Linked DNA regions of Drosophila melanogaster. The protein of the gene in region 1 interacts with the protein of each later gene in a pairwise test. Each region holds a gene or a part of one and is shown in the gene's direction. Other genes may lie near its edges.

Region 1 (6,828 bases):
CTGCGTTTCAGTTATTCTTTTTAAGGCAAACACCTACCTAAATAATTGATAAAAACAAAAAGCTAGCAAACCCAAACACACACACACACACGCACGCACACAGCGACGGAAAGAGCGCATGAGAGAGGAATTGTCCGTCTGGCATTTTGACGTTTATTACTTTGCCTGTATTGTTGTTGCTGCTGCCTTTGCATTGCCTCTTTTTTTGTTGCCTTTGCGCGCGAATTCGCTGCGCATAGCAAATTAAAATTAAAAGTTTGCGAGAGCGAGAGAGTGCAACAAAAAAGCAGGGAAAAAATATCAAAATTAATTTCTTTTCGGCGTGGCGGGAGAGAGAAGGACAGAGCGGAGAGAGAGAGGGAGAACGAGCAAAAAAGAGAGAGAGAGCGCGCGACGACATGACGAACTTTTGACACATTTTGTTTATAACAATTGTCTGCTTTTTGCACTTACCTCTTTTTCGTTTGCTTCAATTGCTCCTCTCTGCTGGTGACTACAACTTAATATTGTTTTGTGTGCGAAATCAGAAATGCCAGTTTAAACATTATTTAACACAAATACGTTTACGCACACTAGCATATATGCTGTAGTAATTTGTTGTTGTTGCTGTGCTGTTGGTGGTGGTGGCGATGGTGATAAAGCCTTGCCGTTTTAGACGATTTCTGGTCTCCTCGCATTAAATATGTTTAGTTTCCATTACTGTTTGTTGTTGTTGTGATTGTTGTTATGTGGTGTATTAATAAAAAACGTACGCGAACTGCAGTCAAAGTCACTCACACTCACACTCACACGCACGCACACACTGGCACACGGCATACGGCACACACAAACGCACGCACGCACACACACAGCAACTAGTAATTCTGCTGTGCGAAAGAGACAACATGAGAGCGCTTACGAAAAAAATGTTTGTGTAAGTTTCCCCGAAAACGCGATTTCATCCGGAAAATGCACTGCGCTCGCATTTCGCCTCCGCCGCGTTGGCCATTTAATCACTTTATATGGTTCCGTTTCGATTGCATTGTTTTTAGTAGGGGTTTTTAACCGAAATTTAGTTGCGTGTTTTGTGTTGGTGCAGAGAGAGCAGGAAAATACACATATCGTTATCGATGGGTCGGCTATCGATACGGCAACTATCGCCCAGCTGATTGGCGGGCGATCAGCTGTGCGACGATAGGTCCAGTTCTGGAAAATGTCGGTACCGCATATTTGCTAAAAATTTCGATTTTCTCTTACTTAATGAATGATTTTTGGAACCGGTTTGTCTAACGATCTGAGTTTTATCTAGCAATGTGTTTATCCGAGCGTTTTTGAAAATTCATAAGCAGTTTTCAGTGTTGGTTTTCAACACTGGTTTCTTATCTCAATGTCTAATCCAGAAAACCCAATTTTGGAATGGGCAAGTATCTTAATGGGAAATATGATATACCTATATAATCTAATCTACACTTAGCTTGAATGAATATCTATTGAATCCAATTATCTTATTTGTCGGTACAAAATAATGATAAGAATCTACGAATGAATCTATGATAAATCCTTATTGATTTAAATAGCGGATTAAGGCACAACGAATCCTCTAATATATGTCAATTATAGTACTATGCACTGGATTTCTGCACCTGTTATCAGAATTCCGTTAAGAAGTATACTTATCAAAATCGAATAATTTCACAATTTTAAATATTTCTATGTTATCCACATCAATTTTTGGCATCCCTGCCGCCCCCGCAGTGTGGCCGTATGCGCTGATAGTGGGCGCCGCAGCGAACAGCTGATAGGGCTGCAGCATATAAATGAGCAGGTGGTAAATAAATGTTTTTAGTTGATTCCAAGACGCCATTCCGTGCGCGTTGGCTTCCTGATCAGAGTTTATCATTCGGCGGGCGCGGCCATCATTAGATTAGATCGACATTAGTGCGTTCCGCTCGGCGATCGGCAGCAATCGATCCGAAATAAACAAACGCTCGCGTATTTACATAATTTAAGTGAAAAGTAACGACGACAGAATGACGAACACCGATGTGCGAAAGAGAAAAGTAAGGAAAAGGTCAAAAGGGCAATCCACAGCACAAATTTAATGCCAATTTCATGGCGCTCTCTCACACACACACGCACACATGCGAATTCCTCAAATTGCTGCTCTTTTGACGCGGAAGTAAAACATCAAATGACTCGCAGAATAATCGTTTCAAGTTCTATTCTATTCGATTGTGCCAATTTGTATCTGAAAATGTATGTTTACAAGACATTTAAATATAGATACGCAATGGCCGCTAAGCACGCTTTTGTTAACAATTATGCAAATTTTGATTTTAGTTACGAAAGAGATGACTAGTGGGTTTTCTATCAACATCTTAATGCCGGCCGGTTTATTTTGAAATATTTTCGTATTCGCATTAGGGTGACCAGTCAGCAGGAACTTTCTCATTTGCAAGGTCATTAGGGGGGGCTGATAAAAAAAAAGCATAGAAAAGTCCAACGATTCAGTTGGCAGCCGTTTCGACCGAATCTCGCTAGACAACTTTTGCAATCGCTTTCTCGCATCGGAACCCAAAGATCACAGGTACACATAGAGTGTCCCATTTCGGGGGCGATTGGATCGCATAGTTTCGACTGATTTGCATCGCAAGTGGGTGGAGAACAGGATGCGGGCAAACCGGAACCGGTTGCAAGTGAGTGCAGATAGTGCCTGGCTGCTAACGTGGCCTTAACCCTCGTGTACCTACGTGTACTCGGTACTACAATATATACTAGATACTTTTGTATCTAACTCGATATTTGTTGTTTTCACAACATCTGTGTCTAAACTTATCAGCATTTTCTAGATAGCACACTTCTACCAGCTTTCAATGTTTGTATCTTTCAACTCATTTTGTGCGTCATATTTATATATTTCAAGATACATTTATCAATTAGGGTTCTTTAAGACTTAAGATTTACTTTTCAGCTGATGCAAAATAGTGTTCGGCTTCGAAATAAATGAGTTATCTATAGAACCGATTAAAGTATTCCCCTTTATAAATGGGGAGCAGGCTTCTTAGTCACTAGATCGGCACAAAAGGCGCCTTTTATCAGTAGATTTATTGATTGCAGTAGCGTGCGCCTGGAAACATATGCGTTAAGTTCACACCCTGAATGTTTAATGAGTTTCACTTATGCCAACAGTGTAATTATTGGGAAGTAGTATGTGTATTCGAAACTAATGGGTGTACTTGATTGTATAGATATAGATATATATACCATCTACCTGTCAACTCCATTACTGCTTAATTATATATACTCGCTATTTGTGCTTTGTTTGACTACTTTTCATTGGCTTTAACTATTTTTTTTTTGCGTCAGTCGCTTACCAACAGCGTAACATTTGTTTAAACAATGGGAATTTCATCAGGTTTGTTTGGGAACTTTAATATTTGATCAAGCTAAAAGATCGCTTCGTGGCCTGCCCCACTTATGATTGTTGCCAGTGGTGCCCAGACGCGCCAATCGCCCCCGAAAACTGATTGCGTCTTATCACTGTCATATCGCCCAGAAAGCTACGCGATAAGATTCTAGTCGAATGGCCACTGGCTTCGCTGACTTCCTCAGCGAAAATGTGTAATTTGGCATGACTTTATATTTTAAGAAAATTAATAATAGCCATAGCTAAAGCCATAGAAACGCATTTTTTACTATTTTTAGTGTTTATCGTTTGTTCTTATAAGAACTAATATAAACTAGCGAAAAGTTAGGTAGAACAATAATATATACTAATCGTGGAAATATCCAAGTAATGCGCTTTAAAAGGTTATTTTGTTTGAAGTAACGGTTTTCTGTTTACCAACTGCCCTAAATTACCGTTGCCAAAAGTGTGGCCCAACCCTGGTTAACGTTATCGATGAGCCACGGACTCTGCAGCCCTGGCACATGTTAACGATAAAGCCCGTAAAATAGACCGAAAACAAGAGAAGAAATGAAATTCATTGACATTCGCAGAGATAGCAAACAGCCAGCGTGTTAATATTTGAGCAGCAAACAACTGAAATGTGTTCCGACCAAGAAACCGGCCATGCATAAATGTGGAGCCAGCAGAGGCAACGGAACGAACCATGAAATACGAATATAAGCTGGTAGACCCGATGAACTTGGCCAAGAAAAACACCATCAAATAACTGAGTAGTCGGTCACAAAACTAATTTGTCTTTCGCCTTTTCAGCTGGCCACGGATGAGAAGCCACCGCGGCGGAAAAGTAGCGGATCACCAAATGCCAGCAGTGGTGGAAACCGCGGGCCCAGCGGCCTCAAGATCTCCTTCCTGTGCCTGATCATCTCCGTCATCCTCCTGCTCTTTGTCTTTGGTGTGTACCATTTGTATTATGTAAAAGACGAAGTGCCCAAAGTTGTACTAACGAAAACCTCTGATTTTCCCACTGTTACCGTGCCCTACGCCCACGTGGAACCCCATTTTGCGCCACCCGTTCGCCGTGTTATCACTAAAAAACCCATCGCCAATAAACCAACGACTGACAACGATGCAGGCTTCGTCTCCGAGAACGCCAGTCCGTATCTGGCCCGTTTGGCCTCCAAGTTTGGCTACAGCAAGGTGCAGTATGCGGCCATCATCGATGCCGGATCGACGGGCAGCCGTGTGCTGGCCTACAAGTTCAATCGCAGCTTCATCGACAACAAACTGGTGCTGTACGAGGAGCTGTTCAAGGAGCGCAAGCCGGGTCTGAGCTCCTTCGCGGATAATCCCGCCGAGGGTGCCCACTCCATCAAACTGCTGCTGGACGAGGCCCGCGCCTTCATACCCAAGGAGCACTGGTCTTCCACACCGCTGGTTCTGAAAGCGACCGCCGGCCTGAGACTCCTGCCCGCCAGCAAGGCGGAAAACATTCTAAATGCCGTCCGAGATCTCTTCGCCAAGTCCGAGTTTAGTGTGGATATGGATGCCGTGGAGATCATGGACGGCACGGACGAGGGCATCTTCAGCTGGTTTACCGTGAACTTCCTGCTGGGCCGCCTGTCCAAGACGAACCAGGCAGCTGCCTTGGACTTGGGCGGCGGTAGCACGCAGGTAACCTTCTCGCCAACGGATCCGGACCAGGTGCCCGTGTACGATAAGTACATGCACGAGGTGGTCACGTCCAGCAAGAAGATCAACGTCTTCACGCACAGCTATCTGGGACTGGGTCTAATGGCTGCACGCCATGCTGTCTTCACGCACGGCTACAAGAAGGAGGATACGGTGCTGGAGAGCGTCTGCGTGAATCCCATAATCGCCAATCGCACGTGGACATACGGCAATGTGCAGTACAAGGTCAGCGGCAAGGAGAATGGCAAGTCCAGTGCCGAGCAGCCCATTGTGGACTTCGATGCCTGCCTGGAGCTGGTCAAGAGCAAGGTAATGCCGCTGGTCAAGCCCAAGCCGTTCACACTCAAGCAGCACGCGGTGGCCGCGTTCAGCTACTACTTTGAGCGGGCCATCGAGTCGGGTCTGGTGGATCCACTGGCTGGCGGCGAGACCACGGTGGAAGCTTATCGCAAGAAGGCCCAGGAGATCTGTGCCATTCCCAACGATGAGCAGCCCTTCATGTGCTTCGACCTTACCTTCATCTCGACGCTGCTGCGCGAAGGATTTGGCCTCAACGATGGCAAGAAGATTAAGGTGAGTCCTGGCGCACTTAACACAAATTGAACTCTCTAGTAACTCGTTTTAAATTGTGCAGCTTTACAAGAAGATAGATGGCCACGAAATCTCCTGGGCCCTCGGCTGTGCATACAACGTTCTGACTAGCGACGAGAAATTCAGTAATTCCTAATGCTCCTCCATTAGTCCGTAGTTGAAGACATAAATTTTAAACGGATTGTTAGCTGAAATTGTTTATAGAGTGCCTTAGACGTGCATCGAGTATACTACAATCACAACACACCGCACACACCGCACACACCACACACACACAGAACACACACTCGGACATTGTCCACAGCATATGTATGATGTGGTCGATTAATATTTGTTTGTGCTCTGCAAGATTCGTTTCAATTGCCTCTAATTGAGCTAACCCATACACGGTGACTACACTTAGCGTTTAGTTTGTAATTCCAATTTTGTGTGATTCGCCATATTTGTAATGCAGTTTTTTGCCAACTTCTTAACTAATTAGTCCCTACACTCGTATCGTATCCTCATGTACATAAATTTACACAATGATATGTATTTACCTAATATGTATAACGACCTAGACTACTAGCCGCAAACATTTCACACGGTTTTTCACACATGCAAATGTTAGTTTAGTTATCTTTGCAAATAAATCAAATGTTAACTGATCTGAATTAAAGTAAAATATTTGTTTATTGCTGATTTTCGTTCGCTATACAAAATATTCTATATTTAATAATAATAGAGGGGTAAATGCATAACGAAGAAAATGAGTAAAGAAAGGGTGTTCCTGCTATGGAATTTTGGTCTTTTTACAAATAAAACTAAGAAACGCTAGCGTGGGAATACGTCAGAGGTCTGCTGCACTACACATTGGCTACGCACTGGCTGCATGTGGAATCGATGAATCCCCTCATGGCCTCGGCAATAGTTGCGGCTTGATGCCCAGCCGGTCGATGATGTACTGCGGCATGCAGAGCGTTGGGTTGATGGCCTTCAGGCCGGAATGTCCCAGTAGCGAGAGTCCGCCGATGCCGAACAGCGTGTGGAATATGTCCGGCATGTTGCCAGTTCTGTCCGAGAAGCCACCGGTCTCCGTGTCCTGGCACGACAGTATGAACTGCTGCAGCTTCTCCGAGCTGATCCAGTGCAGGCGGCCCATGATGGTGAGCGAGGCGAGC
Region 2 (8,081 bases), on another chromosome or scaffold:
GTGCACTCGAAGAACATTGTGGCCATATTACATCTGCTGGTGGCACTGGTGCGTCACTTCCGGGCGCCCGTTCGCCTGCCAGAGAACGTGTTCGTGACCGTCGTGATTGCGGAGAAGAATGCGGGCGTGCTGAACGCGCAGAAGTTCCAGGAGCAGATAACGTCCGAGTACGACGACCTGGGCATGCGCTGCGAAAAGGACGCCTTCGACACGCTGATCGACTGTGCGCCGGACAAGCTGGCCGTGGTGAAGAAGTCCTTGATCACGTTCGTGAACAAGCACCTGGCCAAGCTGAACTTTGAGATCAGCGATCTGAACACGGACTTTCGCGACGGCGTATACCTGTGCCTGCTGATGGGCCTGCTCGGTGGATTCTTTGTGCCGCTGCACGAGTTCCATTTGACGCCGCAGGACGTGGATCAGATGGTCAGCAACGTGGCCTTCGCCTTCGACCTGATGCAGGACGTGGGCCTGCCCAAACCAAAGGCGCGGCCGGAGGACATCGTGAACATGGACCTCAAGTCCACCCTGCGCGTCCTATACAGCCTGTTCACCATGTTCAGGGACTTCGCCTGAGTGAAACCCGGATGGAACGAGCCAGCGGGTTGCAGGAGCAACAAGCGGCGCCAATTTTACATTTTATATTAACTTTTTGATAGTGTTTACACGCCTAATTTATGTGCGTTCTCGAAACTGATTGTAGGCGATGCAGCGGTTAAAGCTTACTGATCCTAACTCTCAAAACCACAACTAAATGCTGCGTCGCGTATAATCAGCCCAAGGAATGTTTATATATATATATATATATTTATGTGTCGTACGTCTAACCACTGCGATCTGCTCCAGATTCAGATTGCTCGGAACAGGAAGGAGCAGAGCAGAGCAGAGCTAACCCAAACCCAAAATCCGGCGGCCAGTTGTTAACTTGTCTTACTCACGTGCCAGACGTTGTAGTTGTTACTAAGTGAATTTATTGTATTAATACATTATTTGAACACAATAACCGAGATTGTGCCTTTAGATCACACAGAGCTTTTGCAAATTATGTCACAGATCAGATTTTAACGCTGTAAATGTAGAAGTTTACGGAAAAGTCTTAAAAAAAAATTTTATTGTGTACGTTAAAAATTTGGATCAGAAAAATCAATAAATATTGCCAATAGCATATGTGTTATTCTATTTTAAACAGTTCCAAGGCGCAAAATTTATCTGGGGCTGCAGCACTCACAAACGCCAGCTTCCATCCTATTCACATGTAAGTTCTTTCGAGCGTCTCGAATTGATTGAGAAACAAACCTTAGTAATTTTCTGAACGCTGTGCTATTTGAATTGTCGCGGTTGCGCGCGCAACTCGCAACGGTCTGGTATCGATCACAGCTGCGAGCAGGCTGCCAGATCGCTTCCCGTTCGGGAACGATTTCGCATCGATTTTCGATTGCTGGCCGGTATAATTTGAAAATGTTACTTTGCTGACCGGATTTTGGTCCTTGGCCAGATGTTGGCCATGAATCTAAAAGCCAGTATTTAGTAACTTGCGTTGATTGCAGCCGCTTAACTAAGCCGCTTAGCCAGATATGTCCTAATGTTATGTGTTTCGTTTCGAAACAAGGTGGCAACCATGCGCATGCTTTTTATGATTTTCACAATAGCCGAGCGAAGTTTCAAGATTCTAGAACTACCCACCACACCAACGCTTCTGCTGCGCCGCCAGTCCCACAACTACGGCTACGACTACATCAGCCCCACGCACATCGAACTCAGCCGGGAAGCAACTCGCCTGGTAATTCGCCGTCTGCAGCGCACCGTTCTCCGCCTGATCCGTGACCCGGACTTCATCATGTCTGCCGAGGCGAATCCCGAGATGGATAAGGAGCACCACGAGTCCCCATTCGCAGCGAACCGCAAGGCCGGTGCCAGCGGCGCCGGCAAACAGGACTCGAACTGCCGCACCTGCAACGATTTCAAGTCGTGGTCCAAGCAGCAACGCCTCATCTCCAACGTGCAGAGCGCCAAGGTGACGTGATCGCGTTGGCCACTTCGCCTTCGCAAGCAGGACGATAACACAAGAATCTCCCACTTTCATACTCCTCCAGGTGAAGCACATGGCCGCCGCCGAAAAGCTGACCGTCAACGCCGCCGAAGATCCGCTGCCCCGCGACGACTGCCCGCTGGACAAGGTGAGGCTGGGAATTTCCACCTGGGGACTGCTCCACACCATGGCCGCCTTTTACTCGGACAACCCCACGGACACCGAGAAGCGCGACATGAAGACCTTTTTTGAGGTTCTGTCGCGCCTTTACCCCTGCGAGTTTTGCGCCAAGGACTTTCGCACCGAGTAAGTGCATCTTCAATCCATTTGAAAACGCTGACACTTTAGCTGGACCTCTGTTGCAGCCTGGACGTCAACCCCATCAATGTGAACTCCCAAAAGGAGCTAGCACTGTGGCTGTGCAAGTTCCACAACCGAGTGAACGACAAACTGGGCAAACCGCTCTTCGATTGCACCAAGGTGAACGAGAGGTGGCGCGACGGCTGGCTAGACGGCTCCTGCGACTAGGCGCCGCAGCTAACCAGCGCCGAGAAGCCCCGTCTCCCGCCCGTTGCAGGTTGCCATGTTGACCAGACTTTGTCCCACATTTTGCTCGGCTGGCCCACAACTACAACCACGGAACACGGGACTCCTGCTCGGCGGTGTACCGCCGCCAACCCGAAACTGTGCCCTGTTTCTGGCCAGAGGCCATGCCCACCAGTCGGAACCTGCGTCAGCGTGACATTAAATTGAGTTATGTTGTAATAGAGCGACACATCGAAGGTCCATTGTTAAATGATTTGCTGGCTATGAACTCCATTAGAATATACACATTATGTTGAGGACCCGTATTATGCCTTCTCACTGGCCCTGCAGATATCGCAATCTCTAATCTGCCGACTGGCGTTTATTAGATTAGAATGGGGAAGGCAAATGCTTTCCACTTCGATAAGATGGGAGTGGAAAGATCTAAAGCGGAGTTGGAATACAATGCTTAGTTGGTTCGAAATTAGGGGATTTGGCTGATACTTATATAGTTTTTAGATTTCCTTTCTATAATACCTAAAGGACTAAAGGTCTTAAAATTTGTCTGCTCTGGTTATATTTTTTAATATTTAACTTAATTTTTTTTTGCAATCAACGAAACATTAACATTTTATTCATTTAACATTTTAATATGCTTAACATAAGAGATATAAAAATTAGTGGAATTTTCGTAAGAGTAAGCCATTATATGATTTACTTATATAACATGATTGCTCAGCAATAGTTTAGGTAGTTTAAGCGGGGAAATTTAAATTTGGCTAATTTAAAATATTTAATACCTCAAATTTAGATGAACGATATTTTCGATTCATAATTATCGGTGATAACTTGTTCGATAGCTCTTCGTTCAGAAATAGCCAGATTTGGCGGCGAAATAGCTGCCCCCGCAGCGCCGCTGCCCGCACATTGTCGTGGTAGCCAACACTAGCGCACATCGCACTACAGTTAGTTGCCTGCTGGCTTTTGCGCGTCGCACGTATCACTTCGTCAGATTTCTCGATTTGGTCGAGCTGAGTAGAGTGTAATTACCAAACAAAGAAATGCGCCTGGCTCAAATTGAATAAATAAAAGCGCCCGCCGTGTGTGACAATCACTTTGCCCACCCCCTTTGGCCAGAAAAGGAGCGCCACTAGCAGCGGAGGAAGAAGCAGCAGCACCATCACCACCACCAGTTGTAGTACAGGAAGAAGAAGAAGCAGTTGCCCTGAAAGAGAGAGAGGGTGCGAGCGAGAGAGGACGAAGCTAAGACAGGGCTGTTCGACAACCAGGTGTTTACATCCTGCTATCCACCATCTGTGTGTGTGTGCATGTCTGTGTGTTGTGTCGTCATCAAACAGCCGATTAAAATATTGAAATCCGTGCAATAAACAATAGTGTCTGTTCCCCTTTCATACTTACTATTTATTATAATTTTTTTTTTTTAATTTTTTCCTTGTGCAAACCCCCTCCCCCCACGTGCGGTTAATCGAACACTGAAGTGCGAACGCGAAATTGCGAATTGTAAAATTCACAAGGTGCCCAATTTGAAGCCAAACGAGATCCGTAGCCACATCGCAATAGCAGAATGGCCCCGGCTCTAAGCAAATTGGCCAACAACCAGAGCGCCATCGTCGGCGTGGCGGGCATGACGGCGGCCCTCTGGATAATTGCCTACGGAAAGATGTCCAACAAGAAGCGGTAAGCCCCCCCTTGATCTTAATTACGGATAATTGTGGCTCAACCATGTTATTTATGTTGCCTGTGCAATATGCAATATTCTACGAACATCTTATTGCACAAGGTCTCGGTCTTGGCCATCGATGTGTCCGTGATATTGACTTGAGTTTTGGATCGCTGTGTATTTATGTACAAACAGATTTGTTTGCGGGACATACGATGCGATGCCACTATTGTGGGTCATCTGGCGGACTGCAAAAACTGGTTTTCCGATGGCCGTTTCTGCCACACTGTATGCACTTCCCCCTCATTGTAGTCCGGTTTCAATTGATTCGTCCAGCAGCCGCGCACAGTGGGCCGGACAGTTCGTTTGCAGCTCCAAATACTGTTCTTTTCAATTGTGTTACCCATTGCCATAATCTTATAATAAGTTTGGCGACCACCAGCTTACGTTTTGAAGATTCTCAAAAAGATATTTTTAAGTGCAGTCCCAATACAAAAAAAAAGTCAACAGATCATCGATTCATTTAAGTAGATGTGAACCAAAGTAGCTGGATCTGTTTGCAGTCTATCCCTATTATGTAGATATACTGATATCTAGGATAGGTCTGAATGTATATATTGTCTGGGAGGAATGGAGGAATTCCGCGTACTTAGCAGAAGGTAGACTCAGATAGGCACTACATTTCCGGCCAAACAGCAAACTCGATTAGGAAAGCCTTCTCGGCGCCCTCGACTATTATGACCCGAATAGCCACTTCTTGGCGGCCTGCTTCATTGCGGTATCGCTTCAAGGATTTCCCCATCGAGCACCTGCGATGCGGACTTGATTCCCCGGTTAAGGGCCACGTTTCGGTGTTTGAATGGACTTGGTCTTTGCCGCTAATCTAATCGGCAACGCGCCAGTCTACAGCACTTCATCTATATGCCCCATTCCACTATCGCCACTCGTGCCGATTATGCTGTTGTTAACGCGCTCAATATTTGGTCATATTCGATGTGTGCGGGGTTCGGCGCGCAATTGACCGCTATCAGTCGATTTCATCTTATTGAATAAACTGAACGGGTAAAGCGGGCGCAATCGACTATTTGCATGACAGAGCCAATTAATTAGACAGATTGCGGCGGACAAGTGGAGTGGGTGGGTGATTGCATTGCCAGCCAGCCAGCCAGCCAGCCATCCGCATGGGATTGTGGGGGATCTGCCGTGGCTGCATGTGCCACTCGTTAATTGCTAACATTACTCCGAGTACTCGGAGTATGCCGAGCACTCCGATGTTGGATACCCAACCGGTGGCCATCACTTTCAGCAACTTCTCTGAAGTGCACTGCACTTTGGCAGGCGATCGAAATCGAGCATTTTAATGCGCTGTTTACTTTTTTATGCAACTTTTGCGAGCGAGGTAGCCGCCACTTGTGGATGGCCGCTAAATTTATGCACCATTCCATTGTTCGAATTTTGCACAGTGGATGGTGCAGTCGGTTCAATGGATGCAGTGACTGGACACTCCACAGTCCAACCAACCAAATGGGCTTCGCAAGTGGAGCTCCACTTCGATTATGCTTTCATATGAATCAGTGGTTGAATTTTGTGGTTCATTTCATATAATTTCATTTAATTTCATTCATTCTATGATTCACTTTCAAGTCCAAGAGCTAATCGCTGAATGATTAAGAACGTTGAAAGTTTAAAAGGGACTTTTCGAATGTGTCAACGAGTTTCCGAGTAGCAACGCCTCTTGCACAACTTTCAAGGCGCTTTTTTATCGGTGTTTTTTTTATAGCCTCATATCAAGGACAGGCCCTAGAATTGTTAACTGATATGGTACGGTTATGCTAGCTCGTAGCACCGCCAATAATGTCTTTGCAATCTATCAAGGGTTTGGACAATTGGACAACACACCCAAGCTCATTAGTCCAAAGGTCCAAACACTTTGACTTGACATCCAGCAGCCTGCCTTGCAATCGAACACGCAACCACCGGTGGGCAGTTTGCTTTTGGTGTTGCAACAACACTCGATTGTACCCCTTACCCGGACCCAAGTCCGTACCCATACCCACACACACACACACCCATTCCATGGATGACATGATGACACCCGGGTATAAAGCATAAACATTACAGCCGTGCCTTTTAATGACTTGCGTCGTGCCATCCACAACATTGGATGGAGAGAAGCGCAGAGGACCAGTGGCTTCTGGTTTCATTTTTCCATTTCCATTTCCATTCGCATTCCCGTTCCCATTCCCAGCTCTTTGCCTTCGAGATGGGTAATGGGTAATGGGGTATAGGTGTTAATTTGTGTACAACTTGCTCTGTTTTTCGCAGGTAGACACATTCTGTATCGCCCGGCCCGTCCCGCCGGCTGTTGCGCAATAGCTTGTGTGGCTGTGCGCGCTCCAGACTTTCGGATGGGGAAGTGGAAGAGTCGGATGGATGGAGAGACCTTGTGCCCGGGAAACGCTTGGCCCTCGATAATCGGATTGCCCCGCAAGGCAGCCATTTATCGTGTAATTTGTATAATTCTCGCCTTTACTCGGACGGTGCGTGAAATGAGATCGTAATTTCAATGCAGATTCGCAGCCGAGCTCTGACATTTGCACCTGTTGCGGATGCCACGTTGCCAAGGCCTGTATGTCTGTCTGTCTGCCTGCCTGCCTACCGCTCACTCACTTACTCACTCACTCACTCACTCACTTACTCGCTCGCTCACTTGCTCACTCGCTCTCACTTCTGAGACATCGCAAGCGGAGTGGAGTGAGCGTGTGAGTGCCGGCAGACTGACTACGGGTCTTGAGGTCTACAGGTAACAGCCAAGGCAACAGGTGATGAGTATGCCCGAGCTGTGTCGAGCTATCTGATTTTGGCCAGCGTTTATCAGACAAACTAGCTCGATAGCGGCTGCTATGCGGCACAAGAACCACTGAACTTTGATTGCAATCCGCGGCAATGTCTCTATCTGAGTCAGACGCCAACCGATCTTCTCGCGCCCGGGTTCAATGTGCCCCCCATTAGGCGATCGCCGGCGATTAGCGAAAGAGAGCTTTGGATGAATCGCAGGGGCAGGCGATTTCGGAATGGGAATGGGAATGGGAATGGGTATGGGTATGGCAATGGGAGCCACCGGTGTTGACCTATGGACCCAAACACATGTTCCACGTCTAGGCGGTGAAAACAAGTTTAATATACTACGAATCAAAAAAGGAAAACCACACGAGAGACAGCCAGACACACAGACGGATTGAAAGATAGATAGATGGAAACATATATATATATATATATATATATATATATAGAAATAAATACAAGAGCGCTATGAATAATTCAGTGATCTGCGCAGCGATATTTAAGAAATAACCAAGTCATCACGACTCGTCGCTTTTTCCAGCCTGCAGATAACCAAGGCGCGAGCTTTGTACTTTGTTTGGCCTAACATACCAGTAGCACCAGCACCAGCACCAGCACCAGCACCAGCAACACCAGCACCTCACATCTCATCACCCACATTATCCCATAGACTTCGAACCCTGGGCAGGTGGCGATTTTGGACTCCATCCGATTCGATACGATACGATCCGATCCGATCCGATCCGATCCGATTGGCGATCCAATGCCGGTTAGCCAATGGCCCAGTGGCTTGTGTTGAGCTGGTCAGCTCTGGGCACCGGTTTTCATCCGGACCTTGATCCCACAACGATTAGCAGCTGAAAAGAATTCAAACAAATTATCTCGGAAGCATTTCATGTAGCAAATTTGGGGAAATGTGCTTTTTTTTTAATGTACGCTCAAGCAAAAGTGATAACGAAAGCCCATAGCTTGTGAGTAATGTTTGAGATAGTTAAACTATTT

Evidence for each region.
Region 2: the proteins of NTPase (region 1) and Abcd3 interact in a two-hybrid assay, tested with the Drosophila melanogaster proteins (one large-scale study listed by BioGRID).

What each region holds. Positions count from the first base shown.
Region 1 is NT_033779.5:2,880,204-2,887,031, reverse strand, and holds NTPase (NTPase), read left to right. Parts: upstream 1-1,817; 5' UTR 1,818-2,009; coding exon 2,010-2,039; intron 2,040-3,905; exon of another isoform or gene 3,906-4,091; coding exon of another isoform or gene 4,092-4,112; exon of another isoform or gene 4,113-4,198; coding exon 4,199-5,650; intron 5,651-5,711; coding exon 5,712-5,804; 3' UTR 5,805-6,328; downstream 6,329-6,828. Other genes in the region: RabGGTb (Rab geranylgeranyltransferase subunit beta), read right to left, coding at 6,561-6,828.
Region 2 is NC_004354.4:19,747,295-19,755,375, forward strand, and holds the start of Abcd3 (ATP binding cassette subfamily D member 3), read left to right. Parts: upstream 1-3,475; 5' UTR 3,476-3,843; exon of another isoform or gene 3,844-4,053; 5' UTR 4,054-4,139; coding exon 4,140-4,252; intron 4,253-7,576; exon of another isoform or gene 7,577-8,009; coding exon of another isoform or gene 8,010-8,050; intron 8,051-8,081. Other genes in the region: parvin, read left to right, coding at 1-576; Alr (augmenter of liver regeneration), read left to right, coding at 1,619-2,014, 2,094-2,335, 2,395-2,557.